3 linked regions of the Drosophila melanogaster genome follow. The gene in region 2 interacts genetically with the main gene of each other region. Each region holds a gene or a part of one and is shown on either strand. Other genes may lie near its edges.

The links.
Region 1: of insc (region 2) and egl, changing one suppresses a phenotype caused by changing the other (phenotypic suppression), as found in Drosophila melanogaster (one study listed by BioGRID).
Region 3: of insc (region 2) and pdm2, changing one enhances a phenotype caused by changing the other (phenotypic enhancement), as found in Drosophila melanogaster (one study listed by BioGRID).

The regions. Positions count from the first base shown.
Region 1 is NT_033778.4:23,740,644-23,751,435, forward strand, and holds the start of egl (egalitarian), read right to left. Parts: upstream 6,187-10,792; 5' UTR 5,557-6,186; intron 4,542-5,556; exon of another isoform or gene 4,455-4,541; intron 3,972-4,454; 5' UTR 3,860-3,971; coding exon 3,694-3,859; intron 1-3,693. Other genes in the region: CG13560 (uncharacterized protein), read left to right, coding at 6,956-7,501; CG34105 (uncharacterized protein), read right to left, coding at 8,736-9,209; CG12491 (uncharacterized protein), read left to right, coding at 10,042-10,515.
Region 2 is NT_033778.4:20,829,493-20,840,043, forward strand, and holds the start of insc (inscuteable), read right to left. Parts: upstream 6,537-10,551; 5' UTR 6,178-6,536; intron 2,927-6,177; exon of another isoform or gene 2,292-2,926; intron 902-2,291; exon of another isoform or gene 879-901; coding exon of another isoform or gene 1-878. Other genes in the region: sktl (skittles), read right to left, coding at 1-878.
Region 3 is NT_033779.5:12,652,871-12,663,644, reverse strand, and holds the start of pdm2 (POU domain protein 2), read right to left. Parts: upstream 6,481-10,774; 5' UTR 5,572-6,480; intron 3,394-5,571; 5' UTR 3,180-3,393; coding exon 2,714-3,179; intron 1-2,713. UniProt on the Drosophila melanogaster protein: DNA-binding regulatory protein implicated in early development. Involved in neuronal cell fate decision. May act as an octamer-dependent activator of transcription.

The sequences.
Region 1 (10,792 bases), 2.9 Mb from region 2:
TTTTTGCGGTGGCAATTTTCAAATGCACCGAGGACACTGGCCATAAATTTATGTATATTTATGCCTTGCCGCTTATTGAAGAAAACGTAAAACGAAAAGACACGAAACGAAATGAAAGCATTTCCCCGGGATGTTGTGAATCGAAATGTAAGTGGAGAGCAGCCAGGTAAAGGGTTATGCCTGGCCGTAAACTCCGGATTTTATGACTCACTTGGGGTTACTCACTCTGTGGGCCACATCCTCCAATGTAGAACGTTCCCAGGGTCGTGACTTCATTAGGAACTCATTAGTGCCGCCTCATCACAGCGTCCTGGCTGTCAAAACGGTTAGCGATCAATTAGAAACAAATGGCACAAAGTTGGCAAATAATGAGTGCCACACTCACTTTCGCCTTAAACAAAATGTTTCGCCCTTTGCGATTAATGTCAAAAATCAATGCGAGTTCCATTTACTTTGGGAAAAAAGCAAAAGTCAACTTAAGCATAAAGACCTTGGCTGCACACACGCAATGCCGGGAAATGTGGAGCTTCAACGGGGGTATTTCCTTGGTGGATTTCCGGGGGTTTCAAGGGTTAAGGGGTTGGGAGCAACGGCTGGCAGGCGTTAAAGGATTTCCTTCGCTCGACATAAAATCGTTAAATTTACGACAATGTCAGAAATTCAAATGCGTGGCGAAAACGCAAAAGGTTCGAGCGAAATTAGCTGGCGGATCGATCAGGCAATCTATACAACTTTTGGTTAAAAGTTGATAATCAATAGATTTAAGTATGTTATTCAACTTAGGTTTTGTGATTATATTCCATTGAATTTTAGACAGCACTCTATCTTGATTTTCTACTTTTCGCATAGCGAAATAAACCAACTCAGCCATTAGTTACAAAATTGATTTCTGTGTAGCTTAAGTATTTATTTCATTTGCTTTGACAACTTTTGCCTGTCCGTGTGTTTTGTTTGCTTTGGCAATCGATTACGCAAAGCGAAAAAAAAAAATAAACTAAAAAACCCACACAGAGAAAAACATTTGCGAACCTTCGCAAAAGGCTTGGCCTGTTTTTGGTGCGAATGCCTTTTCTATTTTTCCCAGCTGCTTGTGTGTGTGCAATTATTCAAAGCCGCTGGCAAGTCAAAATGGCAAAACGATAAACTGGGCTAAATGGTTGTGTTTACTTCTGGCAGGCCGTTAAATTAGCAGCGAAATTTAAGCTCGCCATTAACGAGTTTCAGTTCAGTTTAGCAAACTCTCCAAAACTGTTTGTCTAACCCAATAAACGCCGTTCGAGTTTCTCCTCCTGCCCGGCTAGAAAATTGCTTTCAACGTTAATTTCCCGGAGATGTTTCCCCACCAGAGAACCCTCATCAATCGCTGGGGAATATGCATGGTGGCACACACACACCTCCATTTATTATTGAAGCAACAAATGGATGTGGTCTTCAGTCCCCAGAATATCATGCAATTTTATTGAAATTTCAATTGAACATTTTTGTCACGTAATCGACACTTTTCTATTACAAAGTTTCCGCCACTCCCCCAATCCCCCAATCCGTTCCTGGCCAAAAACCACATAATGGCTGACTTGGATGGCCGACTATTGTGGGCGGGGGTGCAAAATGCTACCCATCGGCCTTAACGGCTTATAAGTTGGGCAAACAACACGTTGACAAAATTGAAGAGGCATAAGATATGTTTGTGGGATTTTAGGTCAGTCCCGGGTGGAATGAAAACCGGGATTAGTGGCCGAAATGGATCGAAATGCCATTGGCCAAGGAACTGCTTAACGTTGGCTCGATGGTTCCATACTTGGAACATCCAATTTCGGGAATGCGCAACTCACTCTTCTCTATTTATAAGCCAGACCTTGACATTTCCCATTCAATTAATTCAGTTTCCCAGTCTATTCTTCTAATCCAGCTGCGATTTGCGTGTTAGCCGCGTATTTCCCTGAACTTTCTCCAACTTGTCTATTGCGTTCTGGGCCAAAAGTAAAACCAGCGCTTTAAGTCACAGACTAAACTATTGTATTTCGGCGAAAATGTTGCTCACCCGAGGTAAACACCATTTGTCTTGGCGGCAGAGTCACGCACATGGCTAAAAAATCAACAAATGTGATAAACATTTTGTTAAATGTTTGTTTTCTTGTTGCAATTAGCCAAGTCGAAGTCGAAGAGTGTGACAAGCAAGAGCAGTATGGGTAATTCTTGTCTTAAACACGATTATGGCCAAAAGTTGATAATCTCCAACAGGTCTTAGCTCATAACTTGGCTAAAAACAATCGCCCAGCGAAAGTAATGACCGTTTTGTGCAGCTTTTTACTTAAACTAAAGATCCCTATCACTTTCCTGCCGATTTTCAGAATTAAAAAATTTGATCATTTTTCGCATTTTTTATAAGGGGTTACATCATCAAATTTTGCAAAAAATGGTCGAAATCTAACATTTCTAGCTGGGAATACCACTCGATAGGGAATTTCACTGCGAGTTCAGGAAGGTAGGACATTCCCCATTTGGTCAACTACTTTTTATTTTATTCACAAAATACTGACAAAAATCTTATAAAAATTATGCAGTACATCCTTAATTTTATTATAATTAGCGATGTCATAAGACCATTATCATAAAACTCAAGTTCATGATGATTCGCTGTAGCTTAATGATTTGCTATAAATCCCCAAGGTGCGGAGTAAACAAATGCGTGCCATTTCCTGTGGCTCTTTTTCAAAACCCTCCTCTCCACAAGTGAGAACATCAAACAAATGTGTTCACATATCTTCGCCTCGAGGGAAAGTGCATTGCACCTTCCCAGCACCCAACACCCAACTCCCAACTCTCAACTAAGTGGTAGCTATTTATAAAAACCGAAAGTTGTTTGTTGCGTCTATTTTTAGTCGCTCGCGTTAGTTAACCGTGCATTTTGATAAACAGCATGGCCAGAGTTTTCCATGTGCCGACTTGTCAATGGAAGTACAACACGTGTACACAAGTCGAGAATCTCGAGAATCTTTGCCTGTTTTTCGTAGACCAGTTGTAAACCAACACCCCCATACCCATATATCCATACCACTTGTGGAAAACACAAGGGTGGAGCATTATCGATTGCAGCTTGGCGGCTGCAATGAAAGGCGATAAACCCTTGGCATGTTTTTGTGGTTTTTGGCATTGAGATCAGCCGGGAGATGGAAAATGAGGAGGCCTGACTGACTGACTCCCCTGCGGCAACTGGCAATCGGCAAACTGCAATTGGAAATGGAAATGGAAACGGCAATGACATGTGCACTTGGACGCCGACCACTCGAAGGCAACATGAACAACACAATCATCGACTGTGACTGTGACGAACAACGCAAACCCGCAGGTGCACAAATATGTATTGTATATGTATGTACCGCAGCCGAACAAGAGTGTCCACCGTTCAGTGTCCAATGTCCACTGTACACTACCGCTTTCCACCGCACACGTTTCCAATTTCCCAGGCTCGGCTGGCGACATTTCAAATGAGAGCATGAATTGAATGCCACGGCATTTTCAGCGCACTTTCCTTGACTTTATTCGATCCAGTTTTTTGATTAAAGAGAGCTGTTTTCAATTCAATCAATATAGCAGGCCTCTTCATTTTTATTTCAGTTGCATTTTGGCTATATGGATTTGCTTGTTGCGAAGTGTAGTTACTAAGTGCTGGCTTAGTTAGTGCGAACTTACCCGACTGACTGCCACCGGCGATTTGGCGCATCTCCTTGGTGAACTCCTTGTTGCCGAATTGGCAGGACAGGTCGTGGACGGTGCGGGGCTCGCCCTTGTCCAGCAGTCGCTCCAGGAAGAAGAGCAACGTCATGTTGCGTGCCATCTCGTACTCCATGGACTCCATTGCTGGGCCTGCTGTGTCCGCTATTCGCTATCTGATATCTGCTAGCTGCTCTCTGCTATCCGCTATCTGCTCAATTATTAATCCGCCCGAGTACGTCACGTTGGCTGCTTATCTGCGGGTAGAAGGAGGAGGAAGGGGAGAGCGTTAGTGAGGTGAAATGGCCAACACTTATGCAATGCGCCAAGAAAGCCGGCCAAAAGCAAAAGACAGGGCAGAAAGTAGCCAAACCGCAGGCACATATTAGATGACACTGAGAGAAACAAGGGTTTACCCTACTCAAAATCTTTCGCATGCCCACTTTTACTTTACTCTACGATGGTTCATAATCAACATGATTTTTTTCTCTCTGTACAGCTTCGTTTCGTTATTTATTTAATACATTTGCACTTTGCCACTGTCGCTCTCTCTTTCCTGCACGCTATGTGCGTCTCACTCGCTATCTCGACACTTGTCCCATGCCATTGCATTGTTTTTGTAGCTCGCCTTGCACTAGTTGAAAATATTCGAGGCAACGGCGGGCAGTTGCAGAGCCATAAACTTTGTTTTGCTTCGTGAATAATTGAGGAGCACAGACTCAAGCGAGTAAAACACGTACGAAGGAGTTGCTACCGTTCCTAGGAGCTGCGACTTCCGTACTCTTGCGGCATGTCCTTGCGCGCCGCTTGAAAGTTTGAAATCAACTGGCAGTTTCCTGCTTCCTGCGCCCACAACATAAACACCGGCGAATTCAGCCAGCTGACTGTGCGGCGAAAGAAGGAGTCCACGTCACGGCGAATTGGCATCAGTGTTGCCAGCTGAGAATTTCGAAACCGCCAGATTCGGTGACTGAAAACAGTGAAAACTCGCTAAGCCACAATTACTACTTAGCATCGAATCGAAAGTAAATAATCATAATATATCTGCTCTATATATCTTTCATTTAAAAGCAAGAGCTAATCTACAAAATCAAATTACCGTAAGATCGCCAGACGATTTTCTATCTAGCGATGTTGGTCTGTATGGGAACGCGCCAATTGGAATTTGCATGGGATTAGTGCAAATAAGACTCTGAGCACAATGGGATTTGGTTGGACTTTTCGAATGGAATTCGGTGGGAATCAAAAGTTGGCGATCAAAAGTTGGCACCTCGACGGGACTAAGGGTATATATAACACGTTTTAATTTGTTTGTTGCTGCCTCTGATTTTTGCCGCCGATTGGCATGTGAAAAGTGTCAGCGCTGCAGAACAGGTGATTGACACAGAAAGAAAGGTACAAATGTGCAGCGGAAATGGAAAATGAAAAGCGCCAGCTCCCTCCCAGGAGTGCATATTACTATTTTTCGCCAGGCCGAACAGAATTTGCCACTCATTATTGTTATCCAACAGGAGGGCTGCCCAAGCCAATAAGAAGTGCAGGTGTAGCTGTGTTCGTGCTTTCCAATTGATAAGCAGAAACCGTTGACAACAAATATGTATTGAGAACGGCAACAACAAAGCACACACATTCCAATCAGCCAATAACTGTGCGCGTGTGAGTGTATGTGCTGTACAGGTATTTGTGCGATTGTATGGGTGGCAAAACAAGAAACTCCAGCCACACCGATAAAAAGAAGAGTCTTATTAGAAGCGAAAGAAAGGTAAAACAATAAAGGAGAAGCGAATAATATCTGGCAGAGAAAACGCGCAAAATATGCAAAAGAAGAGCAGCTGTAATTACCTGTCGGTTAATCACTTGTTTGTTTCGTTCCCTTCTGTTTGTTTAAGTGCACTTGTGATCTGATCTATATTTAAACCGATTGACACACACGCGATACAGATCCTCGCGTTTGGGATTTCTCACCAGATCTGCGTTCAGATCTTAGTTTCAGCTTTTCTTGCCACTGGCGATTTCCAATTGGGCTTCAATTAATTAACATTTTTCGGCGCAATTAACCCATACACTTGCAGAAAAACTGCGACGAAAGCAGTTAGTTATTTTCGTAGCTGTGTTGCTGCTATTGTATTGTTGTTGTATCACTCACACTCATGCACACACATATGCGCGCTGGTCAGGTAGGTTACGTATGTGTGTGCGTGTGTTTGTTAGGCACTTTGAACTGAATGCTGGTAAGAATTGTAAAAACCACTTGTTGCACTGTTTTAAAGGCACTCGTCCAATTGGAGAGTGGCGCACGTGAATTTGCGATTCCTGCCGGTTGGCGGGCAACTGAAACGCACTCGCTGGCAGGTAAAAAAACAGACAATTGCCACGGTTTTCGGAGCGGAGCGATGCGATACGATATGATGATGACAGCGCCAACGCGAACACACGAACACCAGCGCAGCGAAAAACACCAACGAATCGAATTTGGATGGCGGGCGGCGAAGCGAAGGCGGTGGCTGGTGTGGCCAGTGCACGGCCGAGGCGGGAATACCACTGAGCGGCAACGTTGGTATTTTATTAGCCGGGTGGCAACGTCTCGCGGCGCGACTGTTAAGCAGTGTGACCGTTTCGTTTCGCTTCGATTCGAAATTGGATTTCGAAATCATTTTGAAAGATTGTATAGATTCCTTAGAACTGTTTATGGTAGTTCAGTAATTATTAATTCAGCTTTAATCACACGAACCTCTTCCATTAAAGAGTCAAAATCCCGCCATAAGCCTATCTCTTGAACCTTAGTAAAACTCGAACTCCACTGCGTTCAAGGCATTGCTATCTTATATTATTTTTATACATCCTTCAAAATCTCTATGAACCAAACACGCATCTGTTTTGCGGTTATTTAAATAAGGCCGAGTGCTAAAGCACTGCTAGAATGGCTGAATAGCTATTCAGTAGAACTCAAAACAATACCCGAGCTGCCTGTGTTTGCACACTTGCTTAGAATAAACTAGATCTAACAAATCCACAATTCCCCCATTGTTGACTTGTTCAAACAAATGTATTTTCGATAGTCATCGGCCAAATTGTCTCAAGAATATCCTACTAAGCCACGTGCGGCAAATGATGATGATTCGGAGCAAACACACAGTCTGAAAATGAACCAAAAAAATCGTGGGTGATGCGTATAAATACCCTAATTAAATGCAGAGAAAGTACAGTACTTGAGTACAGTGTTCAACGGACGGAGCTAAAGATGCGATTCCAATTCGTCCTGGCCTTTGGTCTTATTGCCATCTTGGCGACCGCTTATGCTGGTGGCGATACCACAGGCACCGGCAGCACGGGCACCGATACTACGGGGACCGGGAGCACGGGCACCGGGAGCACGGGCACCGGTAGCACCGGGAGCACGGGCACCGGTAGCACGGGCACTGGCAGCACCGGGAGCACGGGCACCGGTAGCACGGGCACTGGCAGCACCGGAAGCACGGGTACAGGCAGCACCGGAAGTACGGCCACTGGCAGCACCGGAAGTACGGGATCAACCACCTCTGGCAGCCCCAGCACCTCAACTGGCTCATCCTCGACTAATCCGTCTCCTTCCACAACCTCGCCCTCCACATCGCCCACCACGTCCACCTCCCCGAGCGACTCCTCATCCTCCGGCTCCAGCAGTAGCTCTTCGTCATCCAAGCGGAACCGCAAGGAGAGGCGTCGTCGCTACCGACGTCGTCAGAGACGCCAGGAGAGACGCCGTGAGAGGAGGGAGCGCCAGCGCCAGCAGCGCCGTCGGGGCTGAAATGGGAATCCCAACTCACATGACATTGTAACTCAATGCAAATAAAATTGTTACATGAAAAACCAATATAAACCCTAGATATAAATGTGAATGCAATTTTGTGTTGCATACCTTAAGACACCATAAGAGAAATGTTTTCAGTCCTCCACAGAATCACAGCATGTACCAGCAAGCTTTCTTAGCTCGCATAGCTTTCTCACTCCATTTGGTTCTATCTGAACTAGTGACTCGGCTTCATACTATCGTAGTAACGAATTTCCTAAAGTACAGAACGCCCGGAAAGTATGCAGAACATATATGAGACCTTGTTTCGAAATAAACTCACGAGGCTTTAGAACTAAAGATAATTAATTCCACGAAGTGTTTACGATTCAGTCCAAAAAAATTCGAAACGAGCACAAGATAGCTTTCGTTACAATCTGAAAGATATTTTATCGGATCACAGTACTATTAGAATCATACAAAATATATCAACAGATCGTCAGTCCATAAGCTGCTAAATAGGAAAGTCCGTGAGAGCCTCAAAGTCCTTGGACCCAACGCTACCTGGTCATCTCACGGCTTCTGCTGGATTCACTGCCTCTAGGCGAAGTGGGCGTGGATCAGCCGGTTGGGTTGACGTACCTGAAGGTGATGCTCTGGCTAGAAAGCCAGGGACAAATGACAAATCTCCAATTAGTTAGCAACTAAGCAAAACGGTTTTTTTTGGATTGGCTGGCTGAACGTATTGTTAGCATGTGTGCAAACACAGTACATTGTTTATTAAATAGATGAATATGTATTGTTAAGCCTTTTGAACAGAAAGCCATATTTAAATAACCTCTAAGCTTAAATATAGATTAAGATGGCATATTGTACATAAAGAATGAATTCTCACTAAAAGAAAACTTAGAACAAACTCCTATTTTTCACTTTCATTTGCAAGTTCCTAATCGATTAAGTTATCATCTGGAATTATGTCTGCACTTAGACCAGTTCCACTTGATCAACTAACTAGATCGGAAAATGATTTACTTAGGATTCTTCATTAGAGTATATAGTGTAGCCTTCTTCTTCTTTTCCAAGATGAAACCGAATATTGAATTTCTTTGTTTGACTAACAATTCGATCCAAATGATTTCACTTGTTTTTAAGGTGCCAAGTTACCAAGTCATAACTACGATTGTTGCTTTTGTGTATGCATTTATTTTTCAATTTGGACCATTTCATTGTTCGATCGGGTTAAGCCGATGGTTTATCCCCTACGTTGGCGCCTTCTTCCAGCACGACTCTGCTGGCGCCTTTCCTGCTGCCTCTCCCGGCGAATCTCCTGGCGCCTCTCCTGACGCCTCAGCCGCCGGAGCCTGCGAAGCCTGCGCCTCAGCCTGTCCACCTCCTCGCTGTCGGAGCTCGTGGAGGAGGAGGACGTGTCGCTGGACGTGGAGGGGGCCGTGGTTGTGGCAGTCGTCGATGAGGTGGAGGAAGTGGGCGAAGTGGAAGAAGAGCTGCTAGGAGTGGAGGACGAAGTAGACGTAGTGCTATTGCTGGACGGAGTTGAGGTGGAGGACGAAGAGCTGGGTGTCGAACTTGAGCTGGAAGTCGATGGAGTCGATGAATTGGAAGTGGGTGATGTGGAAGAGGACGAGTCGCTCGAGGATGAGTCGGTGCCACCATAAACGGTCGCCACGAGGACAACCAAACCAAAGGCCAGGACGAATTCGGGTCTCATCTTAAGCTCTGTCTGTTGAACACTGTACTCAAGTACTATACAGCATCCAGATCTGTGTCTGCTATTTATACGATCTATCTGGAGGGGTTTGGTCCAAAATCTCAATCCGTGGGTGGTTTACATCTTAGCATCTGGCACGTGGCCCAGTGTTTTGCTGAAAACGTCTGGAAAGCTGGAAAGGTTATTGTTGGGAAGTTAAACATTGAAGCAGTTGTTGATTTTCTGAAACAATCTACGGCACAGGCACTAGACAAATATAGTTTTTGACTAAGAAGTGACTAAGCAAAAATAGGTAATTGGACTATTCTGAATAAAATAACTAAATACAATAGGAACAATCAGTTCGTAAGATAAGGAAGGGTAAAGTGGCCATTCTACCCAGAATCCTTCAAGTTGGCTTTCCTAAAATGAATACTACAATGCAAGCAGAGTCACTTCGTGTTCTCTTTTAAGCAGCATATTATTATTCAAAGAAAGATTTAATCATCAATAAATGTGATAGAGCACTTAATATTTGCTTAATATTAAATGTTCTTATATTAAACATCCTCTAAGTTAAGCACTTTCTTCTTGAGCCGTATTGGCACATCCACTAAAAATAACACTGCGCAAATAGAAGCTCCATTGCTGTTGTAGATTCGACAAACATAGGAACTTTCCACACCTTGTTCAACAAAACACTGCCGCAAATGCCACATGTTAAGATCAAACTAAGACGACGCACAGATTGAGATTTTGGACCAAACCCCTCCAGATAGATCGTATAAATAGCAGACACAGATCTGGATGCTGTATAGTACTTGAGTACAGTGTTCAACAGACAGAGCTTAAGATGAGACCCGAATTCGTCCTGGCCTTTGGTTTGGTTGTCCTCGTGGCGACCGTTTATGGTGGCACCGACTCATCCTCGAGCGACTCGTCCTCTTCCACATCACCCACTTCCAATTCATCGACTCCATCGACTTCCAGCTCAAGTTCGACACCCAGCTCTTCGTCCTCCACCTCAACTCCGTCCAGCAATAGCACTACGTCTACTTCGTCCTCCACTCCTAGCAGCTCTTCTTCCACTTCGCCCACTTCCTCCACCTCATCGACGACTGCCACAACCACGGCCCCCTCCACGTCCAGCGACACGTCCTCCTCCTCCACGAGCTCCGACAGCGAGGAGGTGGACAGGCTGAGGCGCAGGCTTCGCAGGCTCCGGCGGCTGAGGCGTCAGGAGAGGCGCCAGGAGATTCGCCGGGAGAGGCAGCAGGAAAGGCGCCAGCAGAGTCGTGCTGGAAGAAGGCGCCAACGTAGGGGATAAACCATCGGCTTAACCCGATCGAACAATGAAATGGTCCAAATTGAAAAATAAATGCATACACAAAAGCAACAATCGTAGTTATGACTTGGTAACTTGGCACCTTAAAAACAAGTGAAATCATTTGGATCGAATTGTTAGTCAAACAAAGAAATTCAATATTCGGTTTCATCTTGGAAAAGAAGAAGAAGGCTACACTATATACTCTAATGAAGAATCCTAAGTAAATCATTTTCCGATCTAGTTAGTTGATCAAGTGGAACTGGTCTAAGTGCAGACA
Region 2 (10,551 bases):
GGATTCTGCGATAGGTTCATGTAATAACCGGGCAAAAGTTTTTGCAGGAACTCGCATTCCTTCTTCTGCACCGTCTTGATAATGAACTCGTCGTCGGTCGTCAGGTAAAATATGGAACCAGAGGCACCCGGATTGGAAAGCTCCCTCAGGGGAGACGCACACATGGACATGAGGAAGTCATCGGGTGCGATTCCGAACAGATCTCGGAAGTAGCGAAAGGCGATGGGTGCGTAGACCTTGAAGCGGAAGTCGTTGTAGTGATGGGCAGGTGTTATGGAGGAACCATCTGGCGGAAACGAAATCGTTTCCATTTCCCAGAAGTCATTCATTAGCAGATCCCGCTTGGGCTTACTGGCCAGGCTGCCCACCGTATGCTGGATGCCCAGCTGAATGGAGCCCATGATTTGCTTGGATTGGATCTTCTTGTAGGTCACCTCACCGCCCTCCGCCACTCGCCGGTGGCCCAGCTTCTTCTCGTGCTTCCCGCCCGTGGTGGAGGGATTCCGGGATATACTGGCATCCAGCGTGGAGCTTGCGCTTCTGAGTTTCGAGGCCGGCGTTTGGGTGGCGGCTATGTTGTTCAGTTCCTGCTGCAGCAACGATGTGGTCTCCTGGCCTCCGTGCGCCATAGCGGCATCCCTGAACAACTGCCGAGATGTTCCCGGCTGCAGGCTCATGGGTGGTGGGGTGCTGGGCGTGGCCTCCTGGTCGGGACTTGCGGTCTGAGCCGGGGGAATCTTGACCGGCGTGAGCAGGCTCTTGTGCTCTTGCTCCAGCTCCAGCTGGTTTTCCAGCGGTTCATTCTCATCATCCGGCTGATCCTTTAGCCTATCCTGTTTGCCAACCGGCTCCAGTTCCAGTTCCACGCGGGTGTCCATTTCCCTCTGGGGATTTCCGCTCTCTGCGGAGGAGAAAACCACTTATTGCAGTGCCGCTCAAACAGTACAAAAGGCATTCAATTGCAGCTCGATTAATGGGCGTATGTATGTGGGTGTGTTTATGTGAGTGTGTTTGTGAGTGTGGAGTGGATGAGTAAGTGGGCTTGAGTAGGTGAGTAATCGATTAAGCCAGAGGCAACAATTGTCACGTTCGCACACACATATCTCTCAGTAACACTTTAGTACAACTCTCAATGTGGTAACTCGAGACTTTGGAGCACCTGTTGCTTATCTTTTGTTTACCCAAATGAAGAGCGGCTACAGCTAAAACAACAACAACAATCACCAGCCAGAAGGCAAAAGTAATTAGCCCATGGTCAATTAAAAGCTGCGGACTCTAAAACTGTAAGTTCTTGGCAATAAAGATAAAATCACAATTGCGTGAAACCGTATGCAATCGCTCGAAATTGCAAAATGCACCTGAAAACTGGTAAGTAGACAGCCGAACCAAAATTTCGATTGTTTGCATATGGGAATTCCAAATAACCGGCAGACACGTTCAAATGCATAAATAAACGTACAACTGCACTGGGAAAAATTGTGTTGTCTCAATTTTGAATACAATTATCTTAGTGAATTTTTAATGTGCAATTTGTCAAAGTTCTGATATCCATGTTCAAGCTTTAATTTCTACCAGAGTGTATGAAAATTTAATAATATTATCCGTGGCTAATCTATTTCTTTTCCAAACACTTCTCTATCCAAAAAAACAAATATTTTCTCTATCTGCACGAACAAATGGGAAACGTTTGCTGAAAAACACAAACAATTAAGGCCGAAATCCACAAAATTATTATAGGAAAGTCATTATTTTGTGTGTGGCTTGTTGTATTTTGAAAAATGGAAAATGAAACCAAAACATGGCCACGATGGGCGTGGCAGGGGGCGCATCATAAGTGGGAGGCCATTCAGCTGGCTCGTGTGTGTTTATTTTCGTAAACTTTTAGATTGTCGCTCGGCGGATATGTCGGCGGCATCTCCTATATATCTTTCCTCGTGTCTGTTTTCCTTTTTTTTTTTAATATTTATCGCACGCATGACACGTCAAATAGAACAAAAACAACAATAATTGTACGTTAACAACGGAAAGTTTTGCCAAATTCAGTGAATGAAACTAAACTAACTGAAATGTGCGAGGCTAGTTGCTTTATTAGCAATAACGTTGGATCTTATTTAAATGGAAGAAGTCCCTCTAAAGTTAATAACTTGCCACTTGACCCTCGTTTTTGTGGTCGTTGTTGTTGTGTTGCTGTTGCTGTGGCTGCTTTTGCCTTGGGACCATTTGTTGTGAATTATGAGCTTGCAATTATAGCGTTTTGCCGTTTTTATTTGTAATTTAATTAGCGTACTTACACAGAAATGCTCGAGGGAATAGTTTGCTAGAGGTCAAAAAAACCGAAAGATATCCAGCGAAAAGAGATAATTATTTGCCCTCGGCTGTTCTCTACTCCTCTCCGTCTCCCTCTCTTTCTTTCAATCGGCACCTCTCTTTCGCTCGCTTTGTGTATTCGTTGATCGGCTCAAGGCGCGTTTATCTGTAGCGCTTTCTCTGTCGCTCCGCCGCCGTCGCTGTTGTTGTTTGTGGCGTACTTCCTCCTTTTGCTTCCCCTTTTATCCAGCTCTTTCGATTTCCACTTTCCGCTTGATAAATTGCTTTCATAATTTACAACAATATCTCAACGAATTTGAATTCTCCGTGCACACCTGGTTTATTGTGTGTGGTGTGTGCGTGTGTGTTTGTGACTGAGGATGACGTCGTCGTGCGGCAATCTTGGATATTCCTCATCGAAGTGCCGCATTTTGCATTTTCCCACACCCACTTCAATCGGCGATCGTCGTCCGCCAAAAGTTAACCCGATTTTTCGAGAGCCTTCCGCTGCAATGTATCCACTCCGCGAACTTTAAAACCAGGCGAAAATCAAATATTTCTCGGCAAGAGAAAACTGTTGATGAGTCGTTCGCGCAGAAGATTTTTACGCGTGTTATCGTTTATCGCTTGCGCTGGCGTTAGTTAATTTTGTGCTGCGCGGTATATTTTGCGGTATTATTTCATTACATTGTTTTTTTTTTTTACCTTCTGCTAGTTTCCAAGTTTCCCACCACGGAGAGAGTCTTTGCTGATCAGCAACAAAGCGCAGTGTTGTAAAGTGCCACGTACACTTGTTATAAAAAATTTTTAATTCTGCTATAAAGTCAGTTACAATGCAAACTACTTGTGTTAAAATAAGTGAAAATTGTTCGGATTAGTAGTTTAAAACTATTTAAGAAAAACATACAATAAAAACAGTTTTTATTACTATTTGCCTAAGCTTCGTTACATTTCAAGCAGCTTGATTTAGGATTTAAGATCGAAAAGCGGGCCGTGCGATTCATACTATATTTGGAAGAGAAATGTGTGGATATCTAGACTCAAATAATAATTTCAATTTTTTCACAGGAATTGCTTTGCGGCCGAACAACACCAATCTAATTAGGGAACACCTACAAAGACGACTTCCCAGCCGACGGCGCAATTCTAATTGGATTAGCCAGCGAAGCCGGTGAAGAAGGCATTTCAGGACCCTCTGCCCTTGACCACTGAATTTTTCTGTGGTTCGTTTGTCTCATTACCACCTCCCCCTGCCACGGCACGCCGTTTAAATTGATTGAAAAACAGCCCCTCAATCGATATTTATATCTACATGGGCCAGTCATGAGTAATTCTGCTCATTAGTAGGCAAAGGCAAAGTAATGTAAAAAATGTTTAGCTAACAATCCGGTTTCCACGAGGAGAAATAGCTGAGCTGAGATGCGATGAGTTAATGAGGCTCACAAAGTCACAAATTGCACTTAATTGGGTGTGTTGCATAGTGTAGAAATTGATGTATTGTACATTAAATTCGTGACTAAGAAAATAAGACAATTTTCGAAGTTCGTTGTACTTTTGCCGGCTAATTAGGCACAAAAGGCAGTCGAAATTCATATGCAAATGCCTAATAGAGTTGTCGCCAAACAAGTTTGCGACCAAATAGAATTCTAAAGTCTGCGACAATCTGCCAATTAATTTAAAAATAGAGACAAAATAATTTATGCACTTCAATCTGCGAAAACAGAAAGAAATCAACGGAACTCTTTGCCATATCGCATGAAGATATGATAATGGTTCGTTATCGAAAGCATTTCATAATAAACAAATCAAGAAAAAAAAAAACAGAAAAAAAGCGAGGGAAGCGTGTTGAATAACAAATTTAAGTTCTGGTCAGTTTAAAAGGTACGAATAATGGGAATTGCATCGCAAAATTCAACTGAGAACGGCCAGCGAAAATACAGAAATTACACAGAAAATGTTAATCATGATAATTAAGTTAATATGCGGGGTGGTTAAGTGTTAACTGAACTTGGCTCATTGGGGTCAGCCGCACAAATTGGACACAAGGTGAAATGGGGGAAAGTTGAATGGGGTGGATGGGGTAAATTTCCCCGCTCGTAACCCCGATTAATTAACCAAAAGTTACGGCCCAACCAGATCAAAATCGATTGGACAAAGGCCAGAGCATTGATTAATCCGGCATCCAGCATAATTATTTTAATAGTTTTGACATTTAAACGACAAATTAAAATGGAATAAATGCAAAATAAGAGTAATAAATTTTAATTGCTTGCCACGCCCCTTCCGCGCATCACTTGCGCCCACTGGCAGCTGTTGCATTGATTATAATGAAATTATTATTTATTTATATCGCATCTTTGCGCCATTGCATAATTAATTGTTGTCGTTCGAGTGGCAAACAATTAAATAATAAATCAGTTTTAAACAATCATTTAATTATGTAAAAAACTGAATGAACGCATTAAAACCGTGCAATTATTCAAGTCGCGGCAGCCATAATCCGTTCAATAGAATCGACCATTGTTGCAAAATGTCAAACTGACACATGAGTGAGCAAAAAACAAAGAGTTGCAAATGGTTTAGCAAATGCAATCGACGAAATGTTCCATTTCGCGACATTCCCTGACATTTAACCGACCTGTTCGATGGAAAATCAATAAACTAAGCCAAATTAAACGTTAATCCCACTCAAATGGACAATCATCATTGCTTTGGCATTTCCCATCTAACGGTAGCAACATATCGAACTGGCATTATATACCACTGCTGCTACCGTCGACACCAATTGTCAATGATATCGATCTCTTGGCCGCAACAGGTGAGTGACTTCCAGTGCCGACTGGTTTCCACGTCCAGACGTCCAGGTAATAACACCTCTCCTGATGACCGCCGTAATGGCCGGTGTTTAGCACTCTAATGGAGCCATCGAGACCGCAGAAACGCTCTTAAACTGGAACTAGATCAGTGAGATTATGCGGTGCTCCCTTGATTATTGCAATTAGGCGCGGGCAAACTGAAATTAGGGAAATCTGCGAAACACCACAATGCGGTGAGATTGAAATCGTGCCACTGATATATTCTGAGGTTTCCAGATGAGTCGAGATAACAAGTATTCGAGGTGGCGAAAGCCAACTTCTTCAAATGCATAAGCTGATTAAAATGTAAGAGACCAACCAAAACATTCAAAGAAACTTAAAAATCTTCTTTTAGAAATGTTTTTTATTTCAAGCTACATAACTGGATATTTTTGAGGACTGACTGGAATGTTATTCAATGTAACCCATTCACAACTGCCTTAGAGGTGACTCTTTCCTAGCCAGCAGACTATCACATCTGTGTGCACACATTTCTTTACCCAACCCAATTAGCGTTATCCAATGCTGGGGGCTTAGTCACCAGCACCCCCAGCTCATTCATTCCCCATCAACCTGATCAGTCACCTTAGCCCACTGCCTCCCCCAATTATACGATACATACGTATCTCAGGCAGTTATGTATCCACTCCGGTATCCCCAAGCGCACGGATGACTCATTTGTGGGATCTACGTTATAAAGAACATTCGGAGAAAAGCGAACGAAATCAGTTTGCGGTCTGACGACTTTGACTTTGTGAGGCTCCTGAGTCATAAAACGCGGCTTAGCGAGGTCCTCGAATGAGCAAAAATAAAAACCATCGGAATTTACTTCAATAAATGGGCGGAGGTACATAAATATATACATATGTCTGTAGTTTGTGATTATGTGAATTAAGGCATGTGTAATTACGAGGGGCGTATGCGGAATCGTATTGAATATTTGTGTTTATTGTTAAGCTTATTGGGGTCAAAGCATTCCGAATGTGCTTTACGGTTTATTGTGGCCAAAACTTACCGCTTTCCTGTATAAACAATGCCGAGGTAATCCCAAGTTTGGCTTATGCTTTTGTTGTTGTTTCGGCCGCCACTGATGGATAGTAAAATGTGTATTTCAAGCACGTGTCATTTGATTACTTTTGGGCACCACAAAACTTGACAGTGCGTATGTGTAGTGGGTGGCTGGGTGGTGGGGGTGCTGCACCCACAAGACAAAGCGTAAATAGTTTAACACTGCACAACGGTAAACACAAGTCGACACGACACTCAACGAACGTGGTTAACCCGAACGATACGAAAACAATGATCGAACACAAATATCTCGCGACGATCGCAGCGGTTGCGTCTGCGTGCTTCGACTGCTGGGAATCGAATGAGCGGCTACAGTTGGCGACTTCGACTCAGACTTCTAATTCCCGGGGTGGGAGAGCAGTAAGCCGGAGAGTCGGAGTCAAATTACCTGGGTGAGTAAGGTAGGCAGTGCTGGCAGCTTGACTACTTTCTAGCTAAGGATATCTAATACAATGTTTTAATTGAGTGCATACTTTGAATTATGTGTCTTAAGGTACTGAAAATTAAAGTATTATTAGCTGCTATTATCAGTATCAAGTTTTTATAGGTGATCATAAATCAAATTGAGCATATATCAGCATTTCTAGCTCCTTTAATTGTGAATCTGGCTAACTTTTAGCTACACGGGGTGTGTTATCAACATGGTGCGCTCTCACCTTTCTCTCTTTCGCTCTCCCTATTTGTTTAATAATAACGGGCATAATGAAGAGCATTGTTCGCTTTGTCGCGTTCGTTGTTGTAGTAGTTGGTGGTGGTTTATGCGCTTTTGTTGCTATTTCTTATCACTCACTCCTGTCTTCCCTCTCGCTCTTCTGCGCCAGCTGTTCCGGTAGCATTTTCAAAGGTGCGATCTCTCGCTATCTCTTTCATCTGCTACGCATGCGCAGCTGCCTGAGATTTTGGATTTTTGATTAGGTTCGCTTGTTATTGTTACTGCGATTTTGTGCGAATTTTGGGCGCAATTTTAAGGCAGTTATCTTTTCGTTTAGACTATTTCAACCCTTTGGTATTTCCGTTTCGAAATTTGTTTGATGACTTGCGCAAGTTTGAACACTTCTGGGTGATAAGATTACCCGAAACTTTTAAATGCCCTGTAAATAAAGCCCATTCATTCATGAACGCTCGTGGCCATAAAACGAAAATGTGCCACAAATACACAGTGTTACACTAAAAATTATGAGCAATCGACAGCAATTAGGCAATTGAACAATTTTGCACCAATTATTACAGCCATAAGAGTTCGATCGCCCACCCGTTCGTCGGTGAAAATAATTAAGAGGAGCCCACGATGTGTTTGCTCTTTTCACTATTGCCAATTTGAGATAGTTTCCAAATTGCGAAACTAACTGAAACAATAAGCAAAAGCACAGAGCCAAGTAAGCAAATTAAATCCACAAACAACTAATGAACAAAGTGCACTGAAACTAACAAATGAAAACAATGTTTCGCTTATGAAGGATCGAAATTCATAGAATAAAACCAATATTCAATACTGTATCTCGTTTAACATCTGTTTGCTATTGACACCTTTCAAGAAATTTTAACAACGCGTAGCAATAAAAAAAAAAAATGACAATAAATGCCATTTTCAAATGGCTATACAAATAAATCGTGTCCAAACCGAGAGTTTTAAATCATTAACACAATGTAAACTAAATAGACAATCTGATTTGACTAATAATGGTTTGGGCCGAAAACTTTGAAAAGCACAATCAATTGTCATTTATTGACATTTGTTTATTTTATTTGCTTGCTGACAGTTATGCCTAACTTTTTGTTTATATGAAATGCCATGGCATTGACCCCCAAACTTTTCAGTGTGGAGCCTCACAAAATGAGACAGTTCTGGGGAGCTAGAGGAGTTGGAGTTCAGAGTGCACACGAATGGAATTTCGCCCCATTCGTTGTCAATGTAATTTGTCAGTTCAAAGACCCCGTGCAGCACGAGGACTCCGATTCCAACTACAACTAGTTGTCGTGCCATCCAGCCAGGATGCAAAAGGACCCCGGATCCTACGTGCAAGATGTTTACATCGCGGCGTCGCCCTGACAAATGTGCCAAGTGTGCGGACGTGCGCCCAGGTCCCAGTTCCCAGTACCCAGTACCCAGTTTTCCAGCTCCCAGTTACCAGATCCCAGCTCCTAGCTCCTAGAGCCCAAAAACGCAGATCCCCGAGTCGAGTGCAGCTAAAAAAAATGTAATCAATGTATTTTTGTCACGTTAACGAAATGCACGAGCCTCGCAGCTCAGCTCAGTTCAGCCGGAGCAGCTGCCATAAAAGGACACTGAGAGAAACGTATCCACCTTAAGTGCAAGGAACACCATTTTGGTTGTTACATAGATGTGAAATTAAACAAGACCAAGCAAGTATGATCTTATCTTTAGAATATTTCTAAGAACTATAAGTTCTTGGCTTAGTTCCAAAACTAAAACTCATATAACTAAGTTAATTTTTCTCAGTGTAGCTTCACTTCCTTCGTCACCGCTCGAACAAACATAAATTGTGTCTGTCTTTCATTCTGTTTGTCGAGCTGCCTGAATTTGCACGGAGTGACAATAACAACAACAACATCCATAGTAAGTACTAGTATGACTGCAACTACAACTGAGCTACAGATGACGGAGAAGAATGAGTCGAAATGCCGGGCAGAATGCACAAAGGATTGTCAGGGAGAAATGTCACGTCGTTTGGCAGCAATTATCCCCAGAGCCCAATGAGAGCATTGACTGAGCGAATGAGTCCTGCGTCTGCGAAGGATTCCGGTTGAGATTTGGATGCTAAGACTGAGGCCCGAAATCTAGACGGCAGCTGCCAGACTTTGGCGCGAGCTACAATGCAATTGCCGTACAGTGAGCACTCGCTAAGGGTTGCAGATGCCGTGATTTACCTGAGTTCTGCGCACCTTTTCGCCTTAAGATGTTCAAACTATATATGTCAAGATACATTGGGAAAGCAAAATAACATTCGTTTAAAGACTGAGCTAAACTGTATTTCTCGACACTTCAAAAAGGATATTTGACACAGTTTCTTGAGTTATGCACATCAAGTTTGGTTCTGCCTGTTCCATAGTTCAATCCCATATAGCGCACATAGGTACTACGAGTATACATCCCTCCTTTCGGTGGCAGTGATGTGTGCCGTATGCCACGACTTCCTCCCCGAAAAAAAAGCAGAGCGATGAGCGAAGAAAACTTAAGTGCATTTGTGCCACTGCGAGTCGCGTCGTCTGCCAGCTGTCTGCACCCCTGCATTGCTATTGCTACCCCCATGTGTAATTAAGTCGAGCATTATTCGATATGCTGCACTGGTGAAATTTATGGGCACATGCATTTGCTGGCTATTTATAGACCGAACTAATGGCGCAGCGTTTCTGGAGTTCATAACCTTACCTATGCATAACTTCGTTTGCCCACAGTCGAATGTTATCGAACTGGCACAATGTGGATGGATTGCGATACTGTTCAATGGGCCAGTGTCGAAAGAACTCTGGATTTATTTTGACAAATGGGGTTTCTATAGGTTTCTATTTGTGTGTGCTGTTGATGATTAATGGGGCAAGCCAACTTGAGTGGCATTTAACTATCGCTGTTATCTAAGGCGTACTCAAATCAGCTAGTCCAAAGGCTCATAAAACTATAGTAGTAGATAACGTGGTAAACGCGCTGCATGCAGCCCTATGGCTGCAAGTATGCCGATAGTAACTCAGTTATGCCCTTCGTGATAATCACCAAACTTTCAGAAGTTATGCAATAGATTAAAAAAGACCTACATACCAAAATTCAAAGCTCTGCTGATACAAGTTTTAGTTATAAAGGGTTTTTTTTTTTTAATTCAACGCTCTTGCGGAGAATGAGAAGTAGTAGACTAAACTAAGAGTTAATTTAACCGCATATTCTAATCCACAGAGAGTCAGCTTAGCTCGATTTGTGCGACATATTTGCAGCATGAGTTCAAAGAGCTATCTGTGAAAAGAAAACAATAAGCAACACTCTCAGATGTCGTGAGTCACCGGCGAAGTTTCTGTGTGTCAGCGCGCAAAAGAGAGACGCCACAGATCGCGAAGTGATTAACTTCTGTATCTGAGACAGTCTGAAATTCACCTTTCGAAGTGCCAAGTTTGCGGAAATCGTCGGTATAAGGAGTATGGGTAAATATTCGATGGCTCGGATCGAAGCAGCGGAAACCCGACGCCTCCGCAGGCGCCTCAAGTTGCACTTGGCGCTGGCTCAGCTTTTTTTTTTGCGGAGCTGCCTTCCTTATCGCCGCGTCTTCACAGCTGAAGTAGAAGTGAAGAGCACGCGGCAGCAGTAAAGAAAATA
Region 3 (10,774 bases), on a different chromosome or scaffold from region 2:
CGTCATCAAAACTAAAAATCCTGATTATGGTTCCTAAGATATGGTGTGTACTCTTTAGTAAGGTGCTTTATAGCTCTTTCATCATTAAACTATTTTCCAAGCATCTCGAATCGCACTCATCTTCAGTAGCTGCGGGAAAATCCCAGTTCAATGCAATTCAATCAACCACCAACCGATGCATAAAATTTAAATAAATGTTTGATTTGAATTTAATTGCTGCGTCTGGGAGCAGGCAGAACCTGTCTTCTTTCCATCGGAGAATCTCAATTGAATATAAATCAAATGCAACCGACAGCAGCACATCAGCGCGGATCAAAGGGGCGCGCTAATCACACGCTGGGCCAAATAGGATCTAATTTCCACACAAGAAAATCCCATTTTTTTTGATGAGAATATATATGACGAGGGAATACATACATATATGGGGAAACGATCATATGGAGATGCATTTATAGAGAGATCAGGTGCAGTCGTTGAGCATTCAAATTTCGCGCATCTCGGTAAGATAAATGATGCGGCAGGTAGGACAGGTAGAGAAGAAGGCAGGTAACCCAACCATTTCAATTTGAATTTCGACAATAATTAAGCGCACAATGGATTTATTGGGTTTTCCTCATCTGAAAACCATCGAATTGCCGCTGCGGTTCCCGCTGCCAGTGATCCTACAATTAGTCGGGGAATCGAGAAACCGAGGAAGCCACAAAACATACCTAGACCAACCAACCCATCTGATCTCGTGGCAGTTGCAATTATCATAATTATTTTCATTCATGCGGCGATGCATTGAGCATCTCCGTCTGACAGTTCATCTCGGTTCCTGGCGGAGATTGGCGAGATAAATCCGAGAGCGTTCTGAATGAAATCTTTGAGTTCTTAACGCCGTTTCCCTTTTGTTAACCCGGATCTCAGGTTCTCACAGATCCCAGTGGCAGCAAACTTGGGAAACGAGGATGCATCCGAATGTTTTCTTTTTCCTTGCATTTCCGGCACTTGCTGCATAAACAGCATTTACTTTGAATACCCCTATGCAGATGGGAAATGGGCATGTGTTTGTGTTACTTCCTAAGATCTTGATGGAAAAATTGTGCCGAACTCTTTCATGAATTGTATTCTTATATTGTTTTATAAAGACATAATTTGTGAGCTGCATTTGCAGCATTAAATAAAATATTATTGTTTAAAAAATGTATCTCTTCAGTGTCACTTTCTATCTTTTTTTTAGTTTCTAACGTACTAGAATTGGAATCACTACCTTTGGATTGCAGCTAGCAACTAGTCCGACCATTTCCCATCATTGATCTGCCGCAGATGTGGCATTGTATGGAGTTGGCTCATTTATGGCAAATTATGGCTCAAATCGTAATGGGAAGCTTGCTTCAGAGTCGGGTGATGGATAGCATCAAATGCTAACGATCTCGGCACTGAATGAATATCACGAATATCTAACAGAAAATCTAATCAAAGAAACCAACTTCGGTGAGTTACATTTGCTTAAATCGACCTTAATTTCCGGTCGCGTGTTGAACTTATTCGTTTTAGTGCTCCAACCCTTTGTTTTACATTAAATTTTTGATAATTGCGCACTTAAGGAGGTTCGATTTTTTGTGGGTTTTGCATGTCATGTGAGCATTTCCGAGCTGGACCAGAGGAAATGGATTTACATATGAAGATGAATGGTAATGAGTCCTATTTAAATTGGATATTGTGTAAATTGGGGTCTGGGGGCTCGGTTGGCTTTAAATAACAATTGAGGTCACGAAAAGTGTTTTCAAGTCCCCCGAGTGAGATCATCAAACGGCAAAATGGCAATTTCAATAATCGAAAGAAAACAAGATGTTGCAACCCCCTTTTTCCTTTTGGATTGAGCAGCAGGAGCAACAGGATGTGTGGCACCCTCTTGAACCCCTTGTGGTTCTCCTTGTCCTTGTCCCTTAAGACGGATGAAGTGTTTGACAACCCTTTCAATCTTCATAAATGTTCGCACTCGTGGCACCACACTCTGTTGCAATATTAGCCCGGGTCTGGGTCCCTTGTGTCGCATCCTTTTTCTCGGCTCTATCAAGATGACGACGACCCCTTTGCCAATAAAAAATGAAATCTGTTTCGATGCATAAAAAATTGAAAATCCCATAAGCATGCGTTTGGCACGAGTTTTTCTTTGGCATACGGCGCTTCGCCCACTTTTTGAGGCCTGTTTTTTTTTCGGGCCGAAGACCATGAAAAATGGCCGTGCTCTTGTTAACACGTTGTAAATACCTCATTTTTCACTTAATGGGTTTTTAAATACACATATGCATTTGTGTGGATGCTGGGCGGTGGGCTGAAAAGGGTTAACTCCTTTATGGGGTTTTATTGACTCAGGCGGGGCTTGCAAGGTGGATAACTTACAGTCGTTTAAATGGAGACTGAGAATAGAAAATATTATAATATACTATATTTAAGCACTAAAATGCATTATTTTGATTAAGGGGTCCAAAGGTAGTGTTAAAATGAGCGGTGGAGTATAATATATACATTTTAGATTTCTTAAGTGCTACAATTAATAGAATAAATGAAGATATTTAGCTCTTAATAACGTGTACCATCTCCTAAAGGCTTTGGCAACTCGTAAAAAACATTTACAACATTTTCATAATTTAAGAATACCTATGCATTTGCTTATAATATGGCCTTATAATATATGGCCATTCCGATGAGAAAAAGGTCAACTCACCTGAATTGGCTGGTGCTTGCTGGTGGTTCATGGGATGGCAGCTAGGCCTCTCTGGCGGCGACTCCATGAATTCCTGCTTGACTTGTATCTGCGGCAGGCGTAGCAATCCCTCAAAAGCCCGCTCGCTGGTGGGTGGAACTGGTGGGCAGTTGTCTTTAGGGTTAAAGCCATTCAAATGGCCAACGTTAGCGGCATAATTAGCCGGCAGTTGCAGTTGATCGTCGTTCAGAGTGGCTGAAACGCCTTGGCCAGTAATTTGAACATTAACACCTGCTGCCGATGTTGCAGCAGCAAGGCAATGAGTTGCTGCTGTCGGCGAAGTCAGCAACATGGTTGCTGTTGCTGCTGCTGCTGCAGTTGCGGCTGCTTTTGCTGTTGCTGCTGCTGCTGCTGTCTCTGTTGCTGTTGTGCTCAAGTGTTGATGATGGGAATTGTTGGCAAGTGTTGTTGCCAGCAGTAATGGCATAGTTGTTGCTGCTGCTGCTGATGCTGCTGCTCTTGTTGCCGCTGTTGCGTTGCAGTTCGTCAGCAGCAAATTGCGTCGCTTTGATTTATGGCCAACTCAACTGCTCCTTGCTGCCTGTGGCGACTTGTTTGCCGCTCCGGTTGCTGCCTCAGATTATGATATTGACCCATGGACCGCTGGCGATATGTATTCCTCCTTCTGCCTCCTTTGCTGCCTGCAAATGGGTTGATAATTAAAAGTGTCTTCTTCGGCTGAAAGCCTAATTTGCTGTTAACTGCACTTTAAAAAGCTGTTATTAAATACATAGAGCGCTGTGATCTTTACGACTCGATAGCGGAAGTAATTGATTTTTCCCTTAAAATAACTGACCCATCCACATTCCTGTACACGTGACTTTTCACGTTACAGGTGGAAACAGTGGATTTGTTTGAAATCGAACGGATGTTTGTATACCTTATAACTGAGATTAATTAGTTTAGTTTATTAACTGGCTCATGAGTATATTGCATTGTCAGCCCATTCTGCGATTACAAGTTTGTATTTTGATAAAAAAATATATAAGGGTAAAAGTTTAAAAGTTAATATTCTCTTCTAAAAGGTAAATGTAAAGTAAGTTACTGATTAGAAGTTTTACTGTACCTAGCATTGAATGAAAATGTTAATATGTGAGAAACTATATCATTCAGTTAAATAATTACAGAAATTCCATACCACTCGAAAGTAAACATGTCATAAAAGTACATATCGCAATTTATATAGTTTAAATGTTTGCTCTTTTAAATTCGTTTATTGAGCAGTCCAAACATTTCTCTAAATTTTCCCATGGCCTGTCGAATCAGCTCCCACAAGTGAAAAGTGGTTGTATACAACTTTACAGCAGTAGACACCATAAAAGGCACTAAAACCTAAACTTTGTATTATTATGCAAACAAAAAATGGGAGAATGAAAATGGGCACATTTACCAAATGTGGTTTGAAACGAAATTGTTGTAAATTGAAAACAAATTGAAGTCAAATGAGATAAGGAGTGGGTGGGTGGGTGTCGAAAAATCACGGCAAAAGGCGATGAAATCAAAGGAAATAGAAATGGGAAATTAAACTACAAGCGCAACGATCAAATGCCCCGAACAACAAGTCAACTTGGCCAGATAAGATACGGTGCTGAAAAGTGCAAGTGCGTTTATGGAAATGGTTATTTACATACATTACCAAACGGGTTTATGTACATATGAGCCACGAAGAGGCGGGTCGGGGCAACTAACATTAATGGCACTTGTAAACAAATCAATTGAGTTGTCAGTATCGACGGCAAATTGGCCGCAACCAAAGTGCCACACGAAGATTGTTTATCAATTTTGCCAGTCGGTAAATTATGTTCTTTGCATGTCAGCAACCAATTGCCAGGAATCGATATATCTGCCGGTATGATCAAAGCGAACGCCGACTAAATGCAGTCACTTATTCCTCGGTGCTACTTTCAATAATTCCCAATCGGCACGGTAATTCCTTATTGGGCCGACAATATCGGGGCTTTCGCTATTTTTGTTTAACTTCATCTTGTTTTAAAATTAAACACAATTGCTTACTCCAATTGGAAACGTATCGCCGATCATATAATACCGAACATTGCCATTGTGTTTGTCTTCAATTTGGAATTTGTGTTTTCATAATTTTCTATTGGGTGTACACGGTTCGGTTGTAAAGATACGAGGGAACTTAGTTCGATGATGTGATTTGCCTGACTTTCGGTTGAGAAATTGTTTGTCGTGATTATCGATCGAATCATTGCCAGAAGTGGAATTGTAAAAAACCCATAAAAATATATATGTGGCACATCTAAGATAGGGTACACAAATCACAGAAGGTTTATGAAAAATATATGGAATGGAACAAATTTAGAAAAAGTTATTAAACTATCCTTTAAATCAAATACTATATTCAATATATATATATATATATTGCCTCATTTTGAAGATAATTGCTTGTTATTAATACATTTTGCATCTTAATTTGATCTAACCTTAAGATTTTCCATTGTTAAAGATTTGACCAGAACATGGTCACAATTTTGTTATGATTAGCTAAAGCCCGACCAAGATCTCTATGATGGATTCAGTTCGCCCGTCCAACTACCATAGTCAGCCATATCGGGACACTTGTTGGCCCTCAAACACATATGGCCAATTAAGGACGCTGAAATACGCGCAGACACTTGGGAAAGCTCATTAGGAATCTGACAGGCCAGAAGAAACAGTTCTGCCCTCTCTCTCTCTCTTGCGGCATCTGTATCATCCATCTGGCTGATCCATCGATCGCATTGAGTGTGGGCGTTACAAGACAAGCTCCTTGACACACTCAGTGGGTACAAAAGAAAAAAAAGAGTTAAACTCACTTGGGCTGGAAGATGGCGCACCTCCTTACTGGTTTTTCCTCTACTGGTTTTCGCCTGCTGTCACGAATTATAATTTAATTGTTTACTTTGCCACACTTTTATAAATTGTAATTGCCAACGAGAATGGCGACAGCTTCACGCCCTTTCTGCATTTTCTGTGGGCCGTCGAGGTGAGGTGAGGTGATCTCTGTCTTTTGGGACAATTCTCCGAGACACGCTTTTTGATTGACTTCCGACAAACGACTGACTTAAAAAAACGCGCAAGGAGATATGGGCAAAAAGTAAAAAGTGAAAAAAAAGCAGACTAAAGAAAAGAGAAAGAGCAAAAAGAAGCAAAGTTCGCGACGACTTCCGACGACGTCCGACGTATCCACAAAATGTCAAGCGAGTACAAAAAATACTTTTTTTTTATAGAAGATGTTGGAGAGAGTGAGTGAGTGTGAGTGTGCCAGTGTATTGGTCTGTTTGCGATGTGCCTCTGTGTGTGTGTGTGTGTCTGTGGGGGTGGGGAAAGGGAGCCATAAAACAGGTGGAGGGGGTGGTGCGTGGGTGTTTTGGGGCGTTTGACTTCGTTTTTCTTTCTCTTGCTTCTTTTTTTTTACAGGAGGTTTTAAAATGAAAAGCTTGTATTGTGTGGGTGGAAAATAGTACTGCATATGTGTGTGTGAGTGTTCTATATATGTATATATGGGTGGGTGGCTCTTATCGGATTCCGAATTATGTATGTATTGACTGCCGCTGCTTCTGTTCGTTGAGGGAAGAAATAATATGGGGGCTCCTAAGTTGATTTGTAGTTTAGAGCGGCATGAAAATTTCCTCTTGAAGGGAATTGAGAAGGAGAAGAGGAGTCAGGCTCATACGAGTAACCGAATAAGGGTATACAAGTAATTCAGTTTGCAAAATATAATAAAATATATTAAAATTCTTATTGATTCAAGTACTGTTTCTCATCATATGATTCATTATTTATTCGGCACAAGATACAAGATTTTTTGATTTTTTTATGGCCGCTTATATACCAAACCGTTTTCTTTCTTTTATAAAAATAATAAGTTTTATAAAATAAAACATATAATACTAAAGCAGATGATTTTATGGGCAAAACAGATTTAATTCCTTTCAAAATCAATGTTCCGACGGCATTGCACTTGCCAGAAATCACAACACAACTCGCGTTACGCATACGCCCCGTGGACAAGTCGGAATATCAGCGAATGAAAAATGAAAAAAATTGACATTGCAATGATGGCAGAACCGAGAATTATTCGCCGTGCTGTCAAAATGCGAATGTCAAGGCAAAAAACGAACCAAATGCAGACAGATAGCCAACAGAATCCGCTGAACGGCGGCAAAAGGCAAAAAGCGATAAACGCATAAATTAAAATAATTACAAGAGGCGTCCTCAGATTATTGTTGTTGCTGTCACGCACACACAGCTAGTTGAAAAAATAAACAAGAAAAGTCGCGAGGACGACAACCGACAATCGGCCAACGGAGTGGCAACTGAAAAACTGCAATTGAATGCAACTTGACCAGGCCAAAGCATCTAGAAGAAGAGCAGTACTAGCTGAATAAATGGAAGAAGAAGCACCACAAGCAACTGTAGTAACCATACACTTACAAAAATTATATAATATATATTCCAGTCATTTTCTATTGTACCATTTTAATATTTAACAGAAATAAACCTTAAATTCTATATTTTATCTTAACAAATATTCACAAACACGTCTTGGTATAACTTAATTTGGTTTTTATTGTTACTCTAAATAGAATATATTATAATTTATACATTTATATATAAAGGTTCTAAGCGTATTTTAAATACATTTCTTTTACAATTATAAGTAAATTTATAATGTTAATAGGCTTTTAATGAAATTGTATTATAACCAATATATAAAACTTTTCTAAGTGTAGAATCAGTTGATTTTTCTCGGCAACTTGGGATCCACATTGTTGCAACAACGTAGTTGTTGCCGCTGTTGTTGCTGTTGATTTTATTCAAAATGGTTTGTTTATGCCTGAACAGAAAGAGAACGCAAGAGAGAGAAAGTGCGGAGGGAGAGGTAGAAAATCTTGGGGAAATATATCCAACAAGCGCGCTCTCTCCCGCACAAACACACTCACCCAAAGTGGGCAGCCGGCAGCCAATCGGCATGGAGCTTTGGCGCTCTCTTGCGGCGCATGCTCGCTCTTCGTGGGGAGCTCTCTCCATTTCGCCGTTGGCCATTGTGTGTGCATGTGCGCGAATTCGCCGCGGCGTCCAGATGCTGCGGGTGAAAAAAAGAGAGCGAGAGGGCTTTTACCTTTTGACTGCTAATTTCCGTTCATTAAAGTTGGCAGTAGCTTGGCTCGCTCACTATTCTATATGTTCCACTCCCCCATGCCGCCCCCCCTCAGTAGTGAGTCCTTAAAGATATTTCGCCTTGGCCGCAGCTTTAATTTCATTGATTAGCGCCGAGGAAATTCCCTTCTTGGCCCTTTTATTTTTGGTTTGTCACTTCTATTCACTTGTCTGCCCGTCTGCTTGTGTTTTGGTTCCTCTGCAGCCTCCTTTACATCCTCTTTTCCACTATTCTTGTTTTGTAAGCATTTAAGTTGTCGCTGTTTCGAGATGCTTAAATCCAACTAATCGATGGGTTTCGTCTGAAAATGGTTTAGTTTGTGGGGGTAGGTTCTGAAGAGTATGACCCAACTATTCACGGAGTAACTATTTGGTAATCAAAAGATAGTTATGAAATAAAGAAGTTGGGGAAGAGTAAAACTGATGCGAGCGTACTTTTTGAAGATTTTACTTGCAGCACTTGTGTGTACAATAGGTGTACGTTCAAAAAACCTATATAAGGATAATTGGTAAATAATAAAAACTAAAAAATTCTTCTTATAAGCAGTAAAAATGTAATTTTCTTTATTGATATGAAAAAAATATTGTTTTTGTAGCTCTAATTCATATGTTCTCAGGTGTTTACTTGAATATTTAAAAAATGTTATTTTTACCATATGCAGAACCTAACTAACACGCTCGAAAAAGTAGACAACCACCTCTTGAACTGTGCCCTTAGTTCTTCCATTTGGTATTCCACATTCCGTATACGCCCCATAAAACTTGAAAAAATCGCCCAGCCCCAAAATTTCATCTGCCTTCCCTGGCTCATTTTTCATATTGAAGGGCGAGCACCTAAGGACCAACCAACAAAGCTAAGCTGACGGGTGCCTAAGTTATGGTTCCTGCCATATCATCCCCGCGTTCTGTGGAAACTTTTTAGAATTTTGCACTTTTCCTTTTTTTTTTGTGTCGTGTGCTCTTACATATCGCAAACATTTCCTGTCTCTTTTTATTTACATTACCCACCGAGGACGAGGCGACATAAAAGTTGAAAGTTTCCCATGATGTTTATGTGTATATAAATGCTTGCGGGCGGTATTTGTTGTATATAGGGAAACAAAGAGGAGAAATATTTTTTTTCCTTTCCTAAGGCTGTATTTCAACGGTATTCTTTTCGTATTTTTCGTTTCGCAGTTGTGACTTTTCATTTTTCATATGCTGACTGCCTCACGAGCAAACACACACATGCAGGCGGCACACACTTACACCAACACGCAAACGGTCCTTTTTCTCTTTCTCTCTGGGGCTCTTAGTTTTCCATCTCCCTTGGCTTTCCTACGTTGCCCAAGTAAATGGCTTTTGCATTGTAAAATGTTGCATACATTTTCCTCTACTTTGCCTTCGACGTGTACATATGTATATTGTACAAATATATAACCACGTATGGCTGGCATTTACCGTTATACACGGGTGAAGCAGGACAAAAGAAGCTCACACACACAAGGCTCGCCCTCTCACTCGCTCACCCAGTCCTGCCCATGGTATATTTTAAAATTTATGAAAAATAATATTTTTCCATCTCTCCACGCTCGCACACACACACACACACACTTGTGTATATATAGGAGCCCTGAAGGAGTCCTGGGCCATAAGGCGCACAATCAGAATACAATGGCTGCCTAGGGCGCCCAGAGGGGGTGGTGCTGTATATACCACCGCCTTGAGGGGGCGGGTAGGTGCAGGGCAATATGGCACAGTTGGCTTCGCTTGCATTTACGTACAGAGTTGCAGGATAGAGGTGCTTAAGACAGGGTTGCCAGTCTAATAGAAAAGAGTAATGGCGGGATGTTTCTATATTTCGTTTTTATATTTGTTATGTATATATATATGAATTTTATAACACATCTTCACCACGACAGTCAGTCATGTATCTTTACAGAAATCTTTATAATCAAATAACTGTTGAAGATTTGAATTTGTTGCTAAATAGAAAATGTTGTTTCCAAGTAATAAAGAAACCTAAGTTCCTATTTATAGATATATAAATGTAATTAGGAATTGACTAGTTAAATCTGGATGTATTAATAATCCCAAGAAAAGTAATTAAAATTAATATAAGTATAATAAAGAAAACATAAAGTGTTTGTAGCCAAATTAAAGTGTGCATTCCTTAGTTACTATGTATTAATGAAATAAATACAACTGATATAAAATTCAATGAAATCCCCTAATTATTTGCTCGTTGGCAACCCTGGTCACTCAAGTCAAAAGCATTTCCATTATGATAATGTAAGTGCACAATTTTCCCAACTTGAATGCGCACACAGATGCACTCAGTCTGTCTCTCTTCTTGCGCCGTGCCTCTCTATCGCACGCGCACTCACAGTCCACAAGACTCGTTCATTGCGCTTGGAAAATTTTCATATCCTGGCTGGTGCACATGAGAGCATGGAACATGAAAAACTGCACAAATGTGCAGAAAATGTTGCAAAACTACATGACCTGTGGGGGTGGTGAAAATGGGGGCTGTGTGCATGGCAAACCGAAAAATAGAGGTCCTGGTAGCAGGACAACGAAGCACTTGCACATAAAATACGATAACGTTGGACCAAAGTGCTACATATGAAAGGTAGTGCTTGGTAGTGCTCCCCATCTTCGGCTGCTCCACTTTTCCGCCTTGATTTTACCTCCCTGCTGTCACTCTACATACACAAGTTTTAGAGTATAAAAGGCGTTGCCTTGTCCTGAAGTGGGAGGTCGTATATAATTACGCTTGCTCCCTCTTTTGCACCTTAGAGAACCTCCCCACAAATGCATATACGAAATGGAACTATAAAACATGATGGCAGCTTATATAAGCCAAATATTCCCTCT